Linked DNA regions of Yarrowia lipolytica. The protein of the gene in region 2 binds, or shares a complex with, the protein of the main gene of each other region. Links are inferred from orthologs where the notes say so. Each region holds a gene or a part of one and is shown on either strand. Other genes may lie near its edges.

Region 1 (4,087 bases), about 760 kb from region 2:
TTGCAAGTATAAGTACAAGTACGACATAGTCTACTACTTATCCCCTCAGCCCTATATCAGATGGATTCTATACACTATAAACATTTAGGACATGTCGTCAAAGTAGTCCCCTCCTCCCATGGAAAAGAGTCCTCCCGAGCTTCGACTGTGTCTGGAGAAATAGTCGAAATCAATACTAACGGCGGTGGCCAATAGAACAGCTCGCTCATCCAATGTCATGGGTCCCACAACCTTACCGACATCAGGAACGGCCAAAAAGGCCGAAGGGTCCATTCGCAGTACGTAGATACCGGTATCTGTGAAGAACTCTCGTCCCAGACCCACCCAGTTTCGATCCACAGCTCCCATGATAGCCCCTTCCCTGTCACGAGCAGGAAACGCAAAACTCAGGAAGGGAGCGTCAATGTCTGCAAACTGGTCGTACTCGTCATTGCTGTGATGCTGGAATAAGTTGTATTTTCGTCTCCATAAGTGCCATTGTTGCTGTGATTCTCCAATAATGATGCCGTCGCCCTGGCTAGCGGGAAGAATAGCCTTGATCTTGGAGTTAATAAAGGAAAACTTTCGAGAAATGGTCAGCAGATGGTTGCCTGCGTTATCGTAGACGTTGACCTTGAAGGGTCGATGAAGTCTGTACACCTGTCGCATGATAGCCTTGACAAAGCCGAAATCCTCCTCCTCCATGAACCCAAGCTGGTTTCCATTGCCATCCATGATGATGTATTTGTTGGCCTGTTCAAAGCCTAGGATCAGGTTCATCATCTCCATACGACGTTCAACCACCAGAATCGGCTCAGAAAGCATTCTGGTGATGGCATCAGCACCAGTAAGCACTCCGCCAGGGTTGGGTACCTGGTTGTAGTATGCAGGCTGCACCACATTGGGGTTCACGTTTGGATCCTGGGTGTCGACAGGTCTGAATCGTGCTCTCATCCGACGAGCATCGCCTCGAGGAGGATGCTGGAGTCGTAAAGATGACGAAAATGGCCGTAGAAAAGTACACACTGGCTGCCGGGAGCTTATCAAGCCGCTCAAAGGCCGTAACTGTCGCACAAACATGGTTGGACAACGTAGAAGAGAGACTGTTCACGGTGGTAGCAATGTCATACTGGATACATGCAAAAGTATGCACCTAGAGCTTGCATGCGATGGGCTAGTGGAGGTGTACTTTTCCCGGGATTGTGTGTTTCCAAAGAGCAAGAAATACTGGATTCCATTATTTCATGTCTGTGGAGCTAGCTCATAGACCTGGTCTTCTCAGTAGTCATTAATTTGACATCACACACAGACCCTGTCGGTATCCGCCTTGCCTTCAAAACGCCCAGTTGGGAAGACCACTCGGAAGTGTAATTTGGTGCCTGATAGTGTCGAGTCACTGTGATATAGCTACGAGTAGCTACAGTAGTTACTGTATATGGTCATACTAAATAGTACTGTACTTGTACGAAAGCCACAAGTAGGGTAGCTACACTATACAATGCTGTATTGTACTTGTACTAGCACGAGCACGCCTACTGTAACAAAATATAGAGTCGTACCCGCAGTTTTCGTAGACATTTGGAGATTATGTAAGCACACCTTTCGTACTCGTACTCGTACTGTAGACACCTGGGGAAGGGGGGAGGGTGTGATAACCGCACTGGTCGGGTCTCCACAGATGAGTTACAGCAAGGCCTGACAGTTTGACGTTCAGTGACAATAATAGCGACTCCATTACTGTACCTGACCCGCTCTTCCGATCTACTCCTTCCAGACCAACCAGCGATTACGTACATAAGGTACAGAACTCCCAACTGGCTAACACAAATTCTTTTGCTGTGAGACCCGCGCAAGTTTGTACAAGTACGAGAACATTAGGAATGACACAATTGTTGATTTGTAATTAATTCGCAGTCAAATAACTTTTTCTTACACCGCTATAATATCTCCAAAAAAGGCGCTCTACTACGTAATCCCTTGTTGTACATTTATATCTTCCTCGCCCACAGCTCATTCACCAGCCAATTAAGGTTACCGTACAAGGGCCAAAATTTCACTTGGACACATCCAGATCTCCATTTTGCACTCCAGACACCATGTTTCGAAACGTGATTAGCCGAGCCAAAGTGACCCAGATCGGCTCGATCCGATCCATCCACACCCCCGCCAAGCTTTCACGAGAGTCCAAGTACGCCCAGAACGGCCTGGAGGGTCTGTACTCCAAAAACGGCTTCAACACCGCTTGGACCGACTACCAGCGGTTCCTGGTGTCCAAGCTCACTGACCTGACCGTCGACACTCCTCTGCAATCGCGATCCCCTTTTGATATTTTGCGATTCACTGCCGCCGACCGAGATCAGGCTGCTACATTCAACTTTGCCTCTCAAGCCTTCAACAACCACTTTTTCTTCGAGGCTCTGGCCGAGAAGCCCGTGGCCCAGACCACAGCGCCGACAGACTACCTGCGTTCTCGACTGGAGGACAAGTTCGAGTCCATGGAGCGAGCCCGAGAGAACTTTTTGGCTACCGCCGACGAGATGACCGGAAACGGATGGGTCTTCCTCTACGAGGGAGGAGACAAGAACATGTACATTTCGGCTCACCACAACGCAGGATCTCCCTTTTCGTTCCAGCGATTCCAGCATCAAGAATTCAACTTCCCCGCCTCCGAGGAGGTCAAGCGGGACCAGCAAAACATTGAGGCTGCTGTGCGAAAGGGCCTCAAGGAGTCCATCCTGCCTCTGCTGGCCGTCAATGTGTGGCAGCAAGCCTACGTGGACGACTACGGAGTCAACGGCAAGTACAATTACTTGGAGAACTATTGGGAGTGTATTAACTGGGATGTTGTCAACGCTAGACTGTTTGTTGGTGCCCAGTAAGGGATGAATATAAAAAAGGGGGATCTGAATGTATATAGTTGAATGATTTTATCATGTAAGGGATGTCGGCAACAGTACGTCTCCCCACGGTTTTCACGTACTTGTAGTGGCTCACGTAGACACTATCTAGTGCTCTGTATACCTGAATCTGCTCACGTTGTACAACTGTTTGTCCATGTATCAAAAATAGAAAGCATTAATGTTTACTTTAGTGTGTAGCCAGAGGCTCGTGCTGGAGCTCTGCTCATGAGTCTGAAGCTCAGTACAGTATTCTTTTCAGACCCCCCATCTACTCATTAGAAATACCTCACTTCCAGCGTTAGAAACCGAAGTTCTTACGCCATTAGTCATTGTCCCATAGACATCCAATAAATAGCTCACTCTTTCTCATTATTACCTGTTCAGCTCTCCTGCGCCAACAATCAGCTGAACCAAATCCTCGTCCTCACACCAATCGATCCCAGAGGCGGTGATCAGAGCTGTGAAAATCTCTGCCAGAACTCGTCGTTTGTTTTTGGTGTTGTGTAGCTTGGCCTCGAGCTCACTAATAGCCTGGTTGTTTTGATGACGGTCCGCGCTCTTGTCATTGGCCTTCTCAATCGACCGAACTATCGACCGCTGCGTGTCCAGCGAAGCACGGTTCTCGCATATTAATACATCCAGCTGTTTGCGGAGACCAGTGACGACTATCAGGCTGTCAAGAAGGTCACGTGATTTTTCGTCTCGCAGAGCCAGTAGTGGCAGGAGTGACGACTCGTGAAAAGTTGTTTCTCGTCCGTGGTGAATGGCATTGAGAATGCTTGAGGATGCAATGGAGTCGCGTGTGACGCGCCTTTGGACGTTCAAGCGCGTTTCCAGCTCCTTCACGCGACTTTTAAGCGTCTCAATGTTTGCTTCCCTCAAGTCCTCGGGAAGATCACTCACATCTGACTCTTTGACGGCTCGTTCCAGTGCCAGAGACTCGTAAAGATCGAGCTTCTCGAGGATTGTAGCATCGGTCTCGTTTAAAACTCTGTATGTGAGCTTCTCGAGCTGAGGGATACTGGTTTCATGCTTAGAAATGGCAGAAATGGTATCCAACGAACTTTGAGTGAGATTCATGGGTATCTTTAGTTTTTGTCTTCGTTATGGCTAGAGAGTGGTTGCTTGTAAGTGGAGATGATGGAACTACTGTAAATAGGGTTCTGATGGATGGTGCGTGGACTGGGAACAAGCCACTCTACAGTATG
Region 2 (9,075 bases):
TCCCGCTGCTCCCGCTGCCGCCACTTCTTCTGCTGCAGCCGATGCCGACCTGCCCAAGTGGATCTCCGAGTTTGATGCTCTCATCAAGACCCACGTTGACCCCTTTGTCGCTACCTCCAAGCAGCTCGATGCCACCATTGGCGAGCAGGCCGAGGCTTTCAAGAAGGCCTTCGATGCCCAGCGAGACTTCTTGGCTGTCGCTGCTGTCGCCAAGAAGCCTGAACCCACCTCTTCCGCCTTTGCTGAGCTTGTCAAGCCCATCTCCTCCAACGTGGAGTCCATCATGAACATCCGTGAAAAGACCAGAGACCCCAAGGTGTCGTCTCATCTGGCCACCGTGGCCGAGGGAGCTCCCCTGGTCGGATGGGTCGCCTCAGACCTGCCTCTTCCTCTCATTGGCGACTTCAAGGACTCCGCTCAGTTCTACTCCAACCGGGTGCTCAAGGACTTCAAGAGCGTGGACCCCAAGCATGTGGAATGGGTCAAGGGTTTCAACGGCATCGCCGACGCTCTCCAAGCCTACGTCAAGGAGTTCCACACCACCGGTCCCACCTGGAAGGTTGGAGGTATCCCTGTTGAGGAGGCTCTAAAGACTCAATCCAAGTCTGTCGCTGCTCCCACTGCTGTCCCCGCTCCCGGTGGAGCTCCTGCCACAGGAGGAGGCCCTCCTCCTCCTCCTCCCCCTCCTCCTCCTCCTGCTAGCATCTACGAGACAGACTCTGCTGCTCCTGCTGCTCCTTCTGGTGGTATGGGTGCAGTGTTTGCTGACCTGTCCAAGGGCGAGGCTGTCACTGCTGGTCTGCGAAAGGTCGACAAGAGCGAAATGACCCACAAAAACCCCGATCTGCGAAAACAGGACCCTGTTGGCGCCTCCGGAAAGGCAGCTCGACCTCTTCCTCCCAAAAAGCCCGGATCTTTGTCTAAGGCCACTCCTGCTGCCCCTGCCCCCAAGCAGCGACCCGCCAAGACCGAGCTGCTTGACACGAAATGGTTTGTTGAGAACTACGAGGGCGACCAGAACATTGTCATCGAGGGCGAGATGAACCAGGGTGTCATGATCGAGAACTGCAACAACTCAACGGTGCAGATCAAGGGCAAGGTGTCGGCTGTGTCTCTCAACAACTGTAAGAAGCTTGGTCTTCTGGTGGAGAACCTGGTTTCTGGAGTTGACGTGATTCGATGCAAGGACTACGCCATCCAGGTGACTGGTGTTACCCCCATGGTCACTATTGACCAGAGTGACGGAGGACAGATCTATCTGTCCAAGGAGAGCATTGGTGCTGAGGTGTATACTTCGCAGACCACTTCCTTAAACATCAACATCCCCACCGACGATGGAGACTATGAGGAAGTGCCTGTTCCCGAGCAGCTCATCCACAAGATTGTCAACGGCAAGCTCGTCACCTCTGTTGTTGATCACAGCAGTGGTTAATATTTAATAACATTGATACGAAAGATGTAGGATACAGTATGTATACCAACAGTATCGCTACAAAAAGTACGGCACAAGTAACTGTCATATATATACTGTATTTCCGAAATCATATTTGTTACAACACAAGTACATACAGTACATACTACGAATGTCGTGGAATGTGATAAAGACGAATATGATGGACATTGACGTTACTATGCTTTCCGTATTCATCTATCCATATTAATACAAGTAGTGCTACAGTAATTGCACATTTTATACAAGTACATACTGTACATACTATAGTATGTACAACAGTTGAGACCGGTCTCTACAGTATTCAAATTTCGCTTTCAATGCTAATACAGTATATACAAACTACTTCTTAATGTAGTATAAGTTGGCAAACTCGTGGTTGATCAGAGGGAAGGGAGAAATGACCTCCGACATTCCGGGTCGGGCAACAGGGTCTCGCAGGTAGACGGCGGAGCAGGTAGTGAAGTCAACCTCAATGTGGTGGGGGTAGATAACCGAAGGAGAAATGAAGGGTCGGAATCTCCAGGGTGTAAAGTAGGGCTTAGAGATATCCTGTCGGCCGTACAGATGCTTCTTCTGCCAGGGGAACTCCTGGGCGACCTCGGCCTCGTTTTCAGCGGCTTCGGCAGCATCAATCTTCTCTCGCAGAGGTCCTAGCAGCTGCAGCCATCGGGGGTTGACCTCGGTGTCCTGGACAGAGGGATTCAGCAGCTTTTGCTGATGCTCATTGTAGCTGTCGTGGATAGAGTCAGCCACGTTGGTCTTCATTTCCTGGATGAGGCATCGGGCGGCGTAGACCACCTTTCGCTCCTCGACTCCGGCAAACTCGGCTTTTCGCGAAATTAGACAGCTGGACACAATGTTCTTCGTATGAGGGCTCTCGATGGACGAGACGTGGTTGATGTCCTTGGGATGGATAGCAAACTCCAGCTTCTTGGAGCCGATGCCCGCCATGTTCTTGTTTCGCTGCTCAATAAGATGATTGGCATTGGAGCGCACGGTCTCGGCCTTCTTTTGCTCAGCAGAGCCCTCTACCGCGGCCTCAGCCTTTGTCTCAGCCTCCTGGGCCAGCTTGGTGGATCGCTCGTTGAGAAGCTCAATGACGGCCTCGGGGGTTAGGAAACCCTCAGCAGTGGGAGCGACCGGGTCCGCACCGTTGGCAGGGAACTGCTGGTCAATTAGCTTGAGTAGCTTCTCACCCAGAACCTTGGTATCGTCAGTCTGGGTCTTAAGAAACTCGTCTCGGCCAGTGATGAGATCCTCGAAGATGGCAGCGGAGCACAGCTCTCGGAGACGGGCCAGCATGGCCTGGAAGGCCACCTCGTTGGCCTTCTGAAGCTGCATCTGCGTCTTGGGGTCCATCAGCTTTCCAGCCTCTCGCTTCTTGATCTTGTCGAGACGCACGTTCCACATCTTCTCAGGATCATCGTTGCACTTTTTGATGTACTGGTTGTACTTTTTGATCTGTCGGTTGTCGATCTTGACAGCCTCCTCAACGGAAGGCTTGGCCTTACCGGCAGCAAAGAGGACCTTCTCGGGCTTGACTGAGATGAGATCTCCGGGCTTGAGGGTGTAGGAGGCATGCTTGATCTTGACTCCATTGACAGTCACATTGCCCTGTCGAATAAACTGGCCGGCCTGTCGAATGGATGCGGCAAACATGGACCGGAACACGGCAAAGTCCAGTCGCTTCTCCAGATGCACAAACGTCTGCATGGCAAACGGCGTCTTGAGCTTTTTGTTGCCCTCGGCATCAAACTCCAGCATCTGATCGTCGAATCGGTTAGCCATGATTCCTTCGGAGGTCACGTCGTCTCCCAGAGGCAGAACCACACCCTGCAGCTTCTTGGGGATCTGAGTGGTCAAGGTACCCTCTCGAATGTGTTCTCCATGATAGGCTCGCAGCTCTCGCTTGGAGGCCCACTTCTTCTGGAAAAGCGTCTTTTCATCCCGCAGAAAGTCCGTCTTCTTGTACAAGTTGTACAGGTTGCGGGGGTTCCATGAGGCTCGCACCTTACCTCGAGCCAGAGAGAAGAGGTTTTTCGCTTTATGGGGCATTTTGGGGTGGTGATGTATATCTTGTGATTGAATTTTTCACTCAGATGCACGGTAGGGTAACTGAGGTGTAGGTGGGAGTAAATGAGAGGTGACAAAAGTCCCAATCTTAAGAGAGTTTGGTGATGTGTAAATGTTAGTTGGGGGTTAGTTGGAAGTTAGTTGAAAGTGCTACAGACAATGTAAACACTCGCTACACCACCAAGCACAAGGTCAACGTGCAGGAGGTTGAGAGGTAGCACACGAACCGTAGAGCCGGAGCACCATCTACAATCACAACTGTACCATACTAACGACATTGCATCATGAAGAAAAAAGAGGAAGATGAGACGGGGATGGTGAAAAGGGAAGATACAGACGACACATCGACACAAGCAGTGGACGGAGCAGAAGTTGAGAGTAACGGACAAGGTGATGCCGGAACAGACTCTTCTCCATGGTCCATAGAGAGCGAGACAGTGCTGTTCAACTCGCTGTGCAAGTTCAAGCCCGTGGGCATCCACAAACATTTCCGCATGATTTCTCTGTCGGCTTCGCTGAACTACTATTTTTCCGAATCGCCGAAGGACGCGCCTGTGTTCTCTCACCAGGACGTGTGGGACAAGCTGGGCACTCTGTACGACCTGGATGGACTAGACGAACTGGAGTACGTGGCCGACAACCAGGATTCGGACATGGACGAGGATGAGGATGACGAGGCTGCGATTGAAGGGATCGCAAAGCGGTCGCAGATGAAGGAGTTCGTGCTGCCGTTCCGCGATTATGGGTTTCTGCAGATTGAGCAGGCTACTGCGGTTGCCAGTGAACAGTCTAGTCCAGCCATGTCGCGCGAGCAGTCTGTCTTGGAAGACGGACCCACAGCTGGGGATGAAAAGAAGGGCCTTGCTGACGATGACGACGAGTCCAGTGATCTGGATGAACTGGACGACGAGGAGATGAAACTGGCGGAAACCAAGATCAAGGTGGAGGGAGAGCAGCAGGAACGGGAGGAGAACGGAGGAGAAGAAGAGCACGACACCATGGAGGGTAGTGCAGAGCCCGAGGAAGCTGAAAAATCGGAGGAGGAAGGAGAAGGAGAAGAATCTGGAGAATCGGAGAGTGAATCCGGTTCGGAATCACAGTCTGACTCGGACGCACAAACAGGCCGCCAACGAAGAACGCGAGCAGCCACTGCAGCAGCTGTTCGTGGCCGAGGGACCTCAAAGGGCAAGACTGTTCGCGACAAAAAGTCGTCGCCCAGCACCCGTGCTTCCTCCGCTCCGAGACGGTCGACGAGACGGAAGGCGACAACGGAACCCGAAGATACAGCTACAGAACGAGAAGAGACGCCGACGCCGAAAAAGTCGTCTGGTGGGGTGAAGAAACCTGCTCCTCGGCGCAGCACCAGGAGAAAGAAGTGATGAGGTGTGTTTGAGATTGAAGGGGGGGAGGAATGTACGAGTACAAGATACCATATATAATGCTTACTAATGACATAAACATGAGCTTGGATAGCTGGGCTAGCTGTAGAAGATCTGTACTTTTAGTAGTTGGGATGGTACAGAAGAGCTTCTACTGCTTTTACTCACGAAGAGAGACTTGGTATGTTTACCGTAACTGGTAAAGTAAACAAAATCGTAGTGTAATTGCGGTTACTGTATGTGTGTACATTCGTGTATACATGACACAGGACATCGGAAGCCAACCACCACAACATGCTGGTCCTAAAATACTGTAGCACACGCCCTTGATTTTTTCGACTAGCCAGAAGCAATTAGCCATCCTTAGCGACTGTCTAATTTCCTCGGGCTGACACCTGTCAAATCTCCGCGGTACTGGTACAGTGCCGGTAGCCGAGGAGGTGTCAGATTAAGATGGAGTAACTGTCTCGTTCCAGTACGAAATTACCGAACGCCAGCGAGTGCATTGTACTCATACATTACTAAGCCTAAGCAGTGTAATTACTCGGTACGGGGTTCAAGCATATAGCCCACAGAGCGGACGAACAAACCCGTTGCAGGCACCACAGCTACGCATCTTACAGCGCATCTCCTTGCCAGTATGGTCCCATAATAGCTGCCAATGTTTGAAATGAGTGCATGTTTTGGTACAAGTATGGTGCACGTTGACGTCATGTGGAGTCTAGCCTGTGTTTTTACAGTGGTGGGTGTCCGGGCAGTGCAATGGATGTTGAACGAAGGGTCTGTGTGGTCAATTGGAGCTAATGGTACCGTAACGGCACTTGCTGGCCATCTCCAAAGGTCGCTGGGTCACGTGACTCCTCATAGCTAATTACATCTGTTACTTTACATAGTGTGACACGACTGGGGATGGTCGTCCATCATTCATCATGGTCTGCCAATTTAGTTGATACCGAGGAGCTCAACGTCAAAGACAAGAGTGGCGTTGGGGGGGATGAGGCCGGGGAAACCTCGCTCGCCGTAGCCGTAGTCACCGGAGATGGTGAGCACGGATCGCTCGCCGAGAGAGAGCTTGGGGACACCCTCGTCCCATCCTCGGATGACATCGCCGACACCAATGGTGGTCTTGAAGGGCTCGCCTCGATCTCGAGAAGAGTCAAACTTCTGGCCGTTCTCCAGAGTGCCCACGTAGTGGATGGTGACGGCATCTCCCTTCTTGGGGTAGGTCTTGCCGTCGCCGGGCTGGAGCTGCTTAACTGTGACACCCATGTTTGTGATAGAGGCGTGGAAGGCGCGTGTGTTGGTGAGTAAGAGAGGGGACTTGAGAGGGCTAGATCGAAGGCTTCTAGCTGTAAGTGATAGGGTCCGGAACATTGCGTCTGGTTGTGGCGGGCCTAGAGTATATAAGGTCTGTGAGGCATGGGCGAAATTTGACTTTTTTTCCGACACTTCCGACAGCTTCTTTGCACTTCCAAATCTTGCGGTGGGGTCAGGGCGGATTGAACAATTGGGCATATGTGCTGCTATTTTCGGTAGTAGAAAAACCAATTGCTACATATAACACCCGTCTGTATCCGGCAAGTTGTTTACTGCCTTTTTGCCATCTATTCTGCTTCTGTTCAATCGAATTGTAGGTCCACCCACCGCTATTTCCCATCTCCTCTAATCGACCTAAACTCTCGACCATCTGGGCAAAAGAGGGCAAAAAAAGGGCACAAAAAAAGGCGACAATAGACTTTGGACACCTCTCATGTACTATGACGATTGCCAACGCTAGACCATATGTGGGGAGGTCTAGCCGTGTCGTCTAAAGGGGACAATGAAATGGAGCCCGCGGAGGAGCATCTTTTTGGCACGATTGTTTCATGATCCCTTTGCGCTATAACTATTGGAAGTGTCCACTTCGTGAATGCAGACCACCATTCGCCTTAACTACCTAAACAGGAAGTACACGTCTCTCTACAACTGTCTTCTCCACAGACTCCGTATTGGAGTTGACTTTGTTTTTTTAAGGGCACCACTCACATCACTGCAACTCTGCAACTCTAGCAAGCCACCTTGAGCAACGTGTGCATCACAGACAGACACCAGAACACGTGCCTGAGAGAGGGGGAGGGGGCCGGCGTGTTTAGCGACATTTAATCTGGATCACGTGACGCAAGTTCTGATTTTTTTTCTTCTCAACCGACGAGTTTCTGCAGCTCTGTTATCTGCTCTGATGCCTCCTATAAGTACCTACTGTACTTGCTTGTAGTTACAGTGCAATACACCTTGGCTAATTTATATATACTCTACTGGCCCAGAGACACAGTGTCTACACCCACCTACACAGCCAATAGCCGCACGCGGCTTCCCAAAGCGGTTTCCGTGGCTGCACTGCGATATTTGAATGCTGGAAGAACCCCATGGTTATGGTATATTCAGGGGTACAAGTGGAAATACGGGACCTTATGGATTGTACCTGTAATGCTGTGTGTGTTCTTCCAGCTTCATCATTGCGTGTCTGATGGTTGTCCGTATCTCTAACGTGCTTGTACTCTTCCATTAGCTCATCTCACTGAGTAGTTGTACTGTTGCTACTACAAGTAGTATCGCAAGAGTGGGCCATGCAGCGGCTTACATACTGGTAGACCAAGTGGCTCTCGCCTTATGGTCCCGTCACGTAATACACGCTGTCTCAGATGTCTTGGCTAGAGTCCCTGCTTTGCGAGCTACTGTGGAGCTTCGAGTAGGAGCTCGGGACGAATACGAAAACAACGCTCAAAGTTGTCTACTTGTAGACAGCCAGAAAAAGTAACTGCTTAATCTATTCTCGGACTTATCAACAAGTCCAGACATAGCCTCAGAACTTGTGATTATTCTGATTGCTATCGGCGGATAATCCATTTACAAATACTGTATTTACCAGTCGGGTAGATATGCCCTTCCGATCATTCAAGAAGATAAAAGATATAAGAATCAGGTGTATTGGCAACTGTTTCAAATCTGAACCAGTAAGACAACATATCGTCCAACGAGATTACATGGTTCCCTTTGAACAAACGCAAGCCCCAAGTGCGTTCTCGAACCGTTTAAAATCACTCCCATTCAATGCTCGATACTGTCGGACTCCTAAATCACGTTGATCTCTACTCTGAATAGAAGCATAGATAATGCATGCACCCAGCAGTGGAGGCCATAACACCCTGACTACTGAGTACAAGTACTCACTTGCACTTGTACTTGTGGTACACTCGCTCTAACCCGTTTGTAAACACCACCATAATCATCAATCGTTATTCATTTCTATAGCCTTAAACCCTCCTCCGTTCTCACATCCTCAGATACGTCTCATAGGTTCTGGCATCAGCCCGAATCTGACGATCCCCAGACAATACACTCAACGTCTTTCTATACACGGGGTCGTACACCTTGATATTGGGCAGTTTGAACCACGTCAGACCAAGACCAGCGTTGGGGTTCTCTTGATGCACCAGTTGGGCTGAAATGAGCCGTCGGGAGAACGGCAGTAGACGCAAGGAAAACTTGCGGGGACCGTCATATAGGAAATCCGCAGGCGTGTCCTTGGGAGGAATCATACCAGTGGCAGCCACTGGTGCAGTAGCGTCTCCCAAAGTCATCATGAAGGTCAGAACATGAGCAGTCGCATTCTCAATGTAGTAGTCCATCTGGAATGACTCTCCTCGAGAAACGGAGCCGTTGGGAAGATGGGCGATACATCGAGGTTCCAGAATAGGCAAGGTCAGACGAAGAGGGTTGGCGTCATACTCAAAGGACTCTTGCAGTTCGGCACCGTGTCGCTTCCATCGGATCTGAAGAACAGCCTCCACGGTGACACTTCGCACCTCCAGATCTTCTCGATATGTGTCAAACTGACAAGTGGACAAGAAAGAACCATGCCCTGAGTCGGAACGAGACACCAGGGCACCAGTCAGAGGGTCTCCTAGCTCAGAACAAGGTTCCTTCACAACTTCACACACAGAATGGTCGCTCTTGGACACAAACATGAGTTTGGCGGAGACAAGTTCCAGAGGAATCTCATCTGACTCAGCATGGCCCTGGGCATAATGTGTGATACGGGCATCCACTCTCCATCGCTTCTTGATGATTGGAGAGGGTGATTTCTCGTCACCTTCAGCAGGAACAAAGAAACTGGGCCAGTCGTCAGGA

Evidence for each region. The genes of interacting proteins can lie anywhere in the genome.
Region 1: YALI1_B14150g (region 2) and YALI1_B21798g share a complex: the UniProt entries of both Saccharomyces cerevisiae proteins name them as parts of the mitochondrial small ribosomal subunit. The link is inferred for Yarrowia lipolytica from reciprocal best matches to the Saccharomyces cerevisiae genes NAM9 and RSM26.

The regions. Positions count from the first base shown.
Region 1 is NC_090771.1:2,177,729-2,181,815, forward strand, and holds YALI1_B21798g (mitochondrial 37S ribosomal protein mS42), read left to right. Parts: upstream 1-2,075; coding exon 2,076-2,858; downstream 2,859-4,087. Other genes in the region: YALI1_B21787g (uncharacterized protein), read right to left, coding at 85-1,059; YALI1_B21816g (uncharacterized protein), read right to left, coding at 3,252-3,959. UniProt on the Saccharomyces cerevisiae protein: Component of the mitochondrial ribosome (mitoribosome), a dedicated translation machinery responsible for the synthesis of mitochondrial genome-encoded proteins, including at least some of the essential transmembrane subunits of the mitochondrial respiratory chain.
Region 2 is NC_090771.1:1,409,498-1,418,572, reverse strand, and holds YALI1_B14150g (mitochondrial 37S ribosomal protein uS4m), read right to left. Parts: upstream 3,509-9,075; coding exon 1,793-3,508; downstream 1-1,792. Other genes in the region: YALI1_B14187g (uncharacterized protein), read left to right, coding at 1-1,432; YALI1_B14147g (uncharacterized protein), read left to right, coding at 3,811-4,905; YALI1_B14121g (uncharacterized protein), read right to left, coding at 5,848-6,420; YALI1_B14064g (uncharacterized protein), read right to left, coding at 8,217-9,075. UniProt on the Saccharomyces cerevisiae protein: Component of the mitochondrial ribosome (mitoribosome), a dedicated translation machinery responsible for the synthesis of mitochondrial genome-encoded proteins, including at least some of the essential transmembrane subunits of the mitochondrial respiratory chain.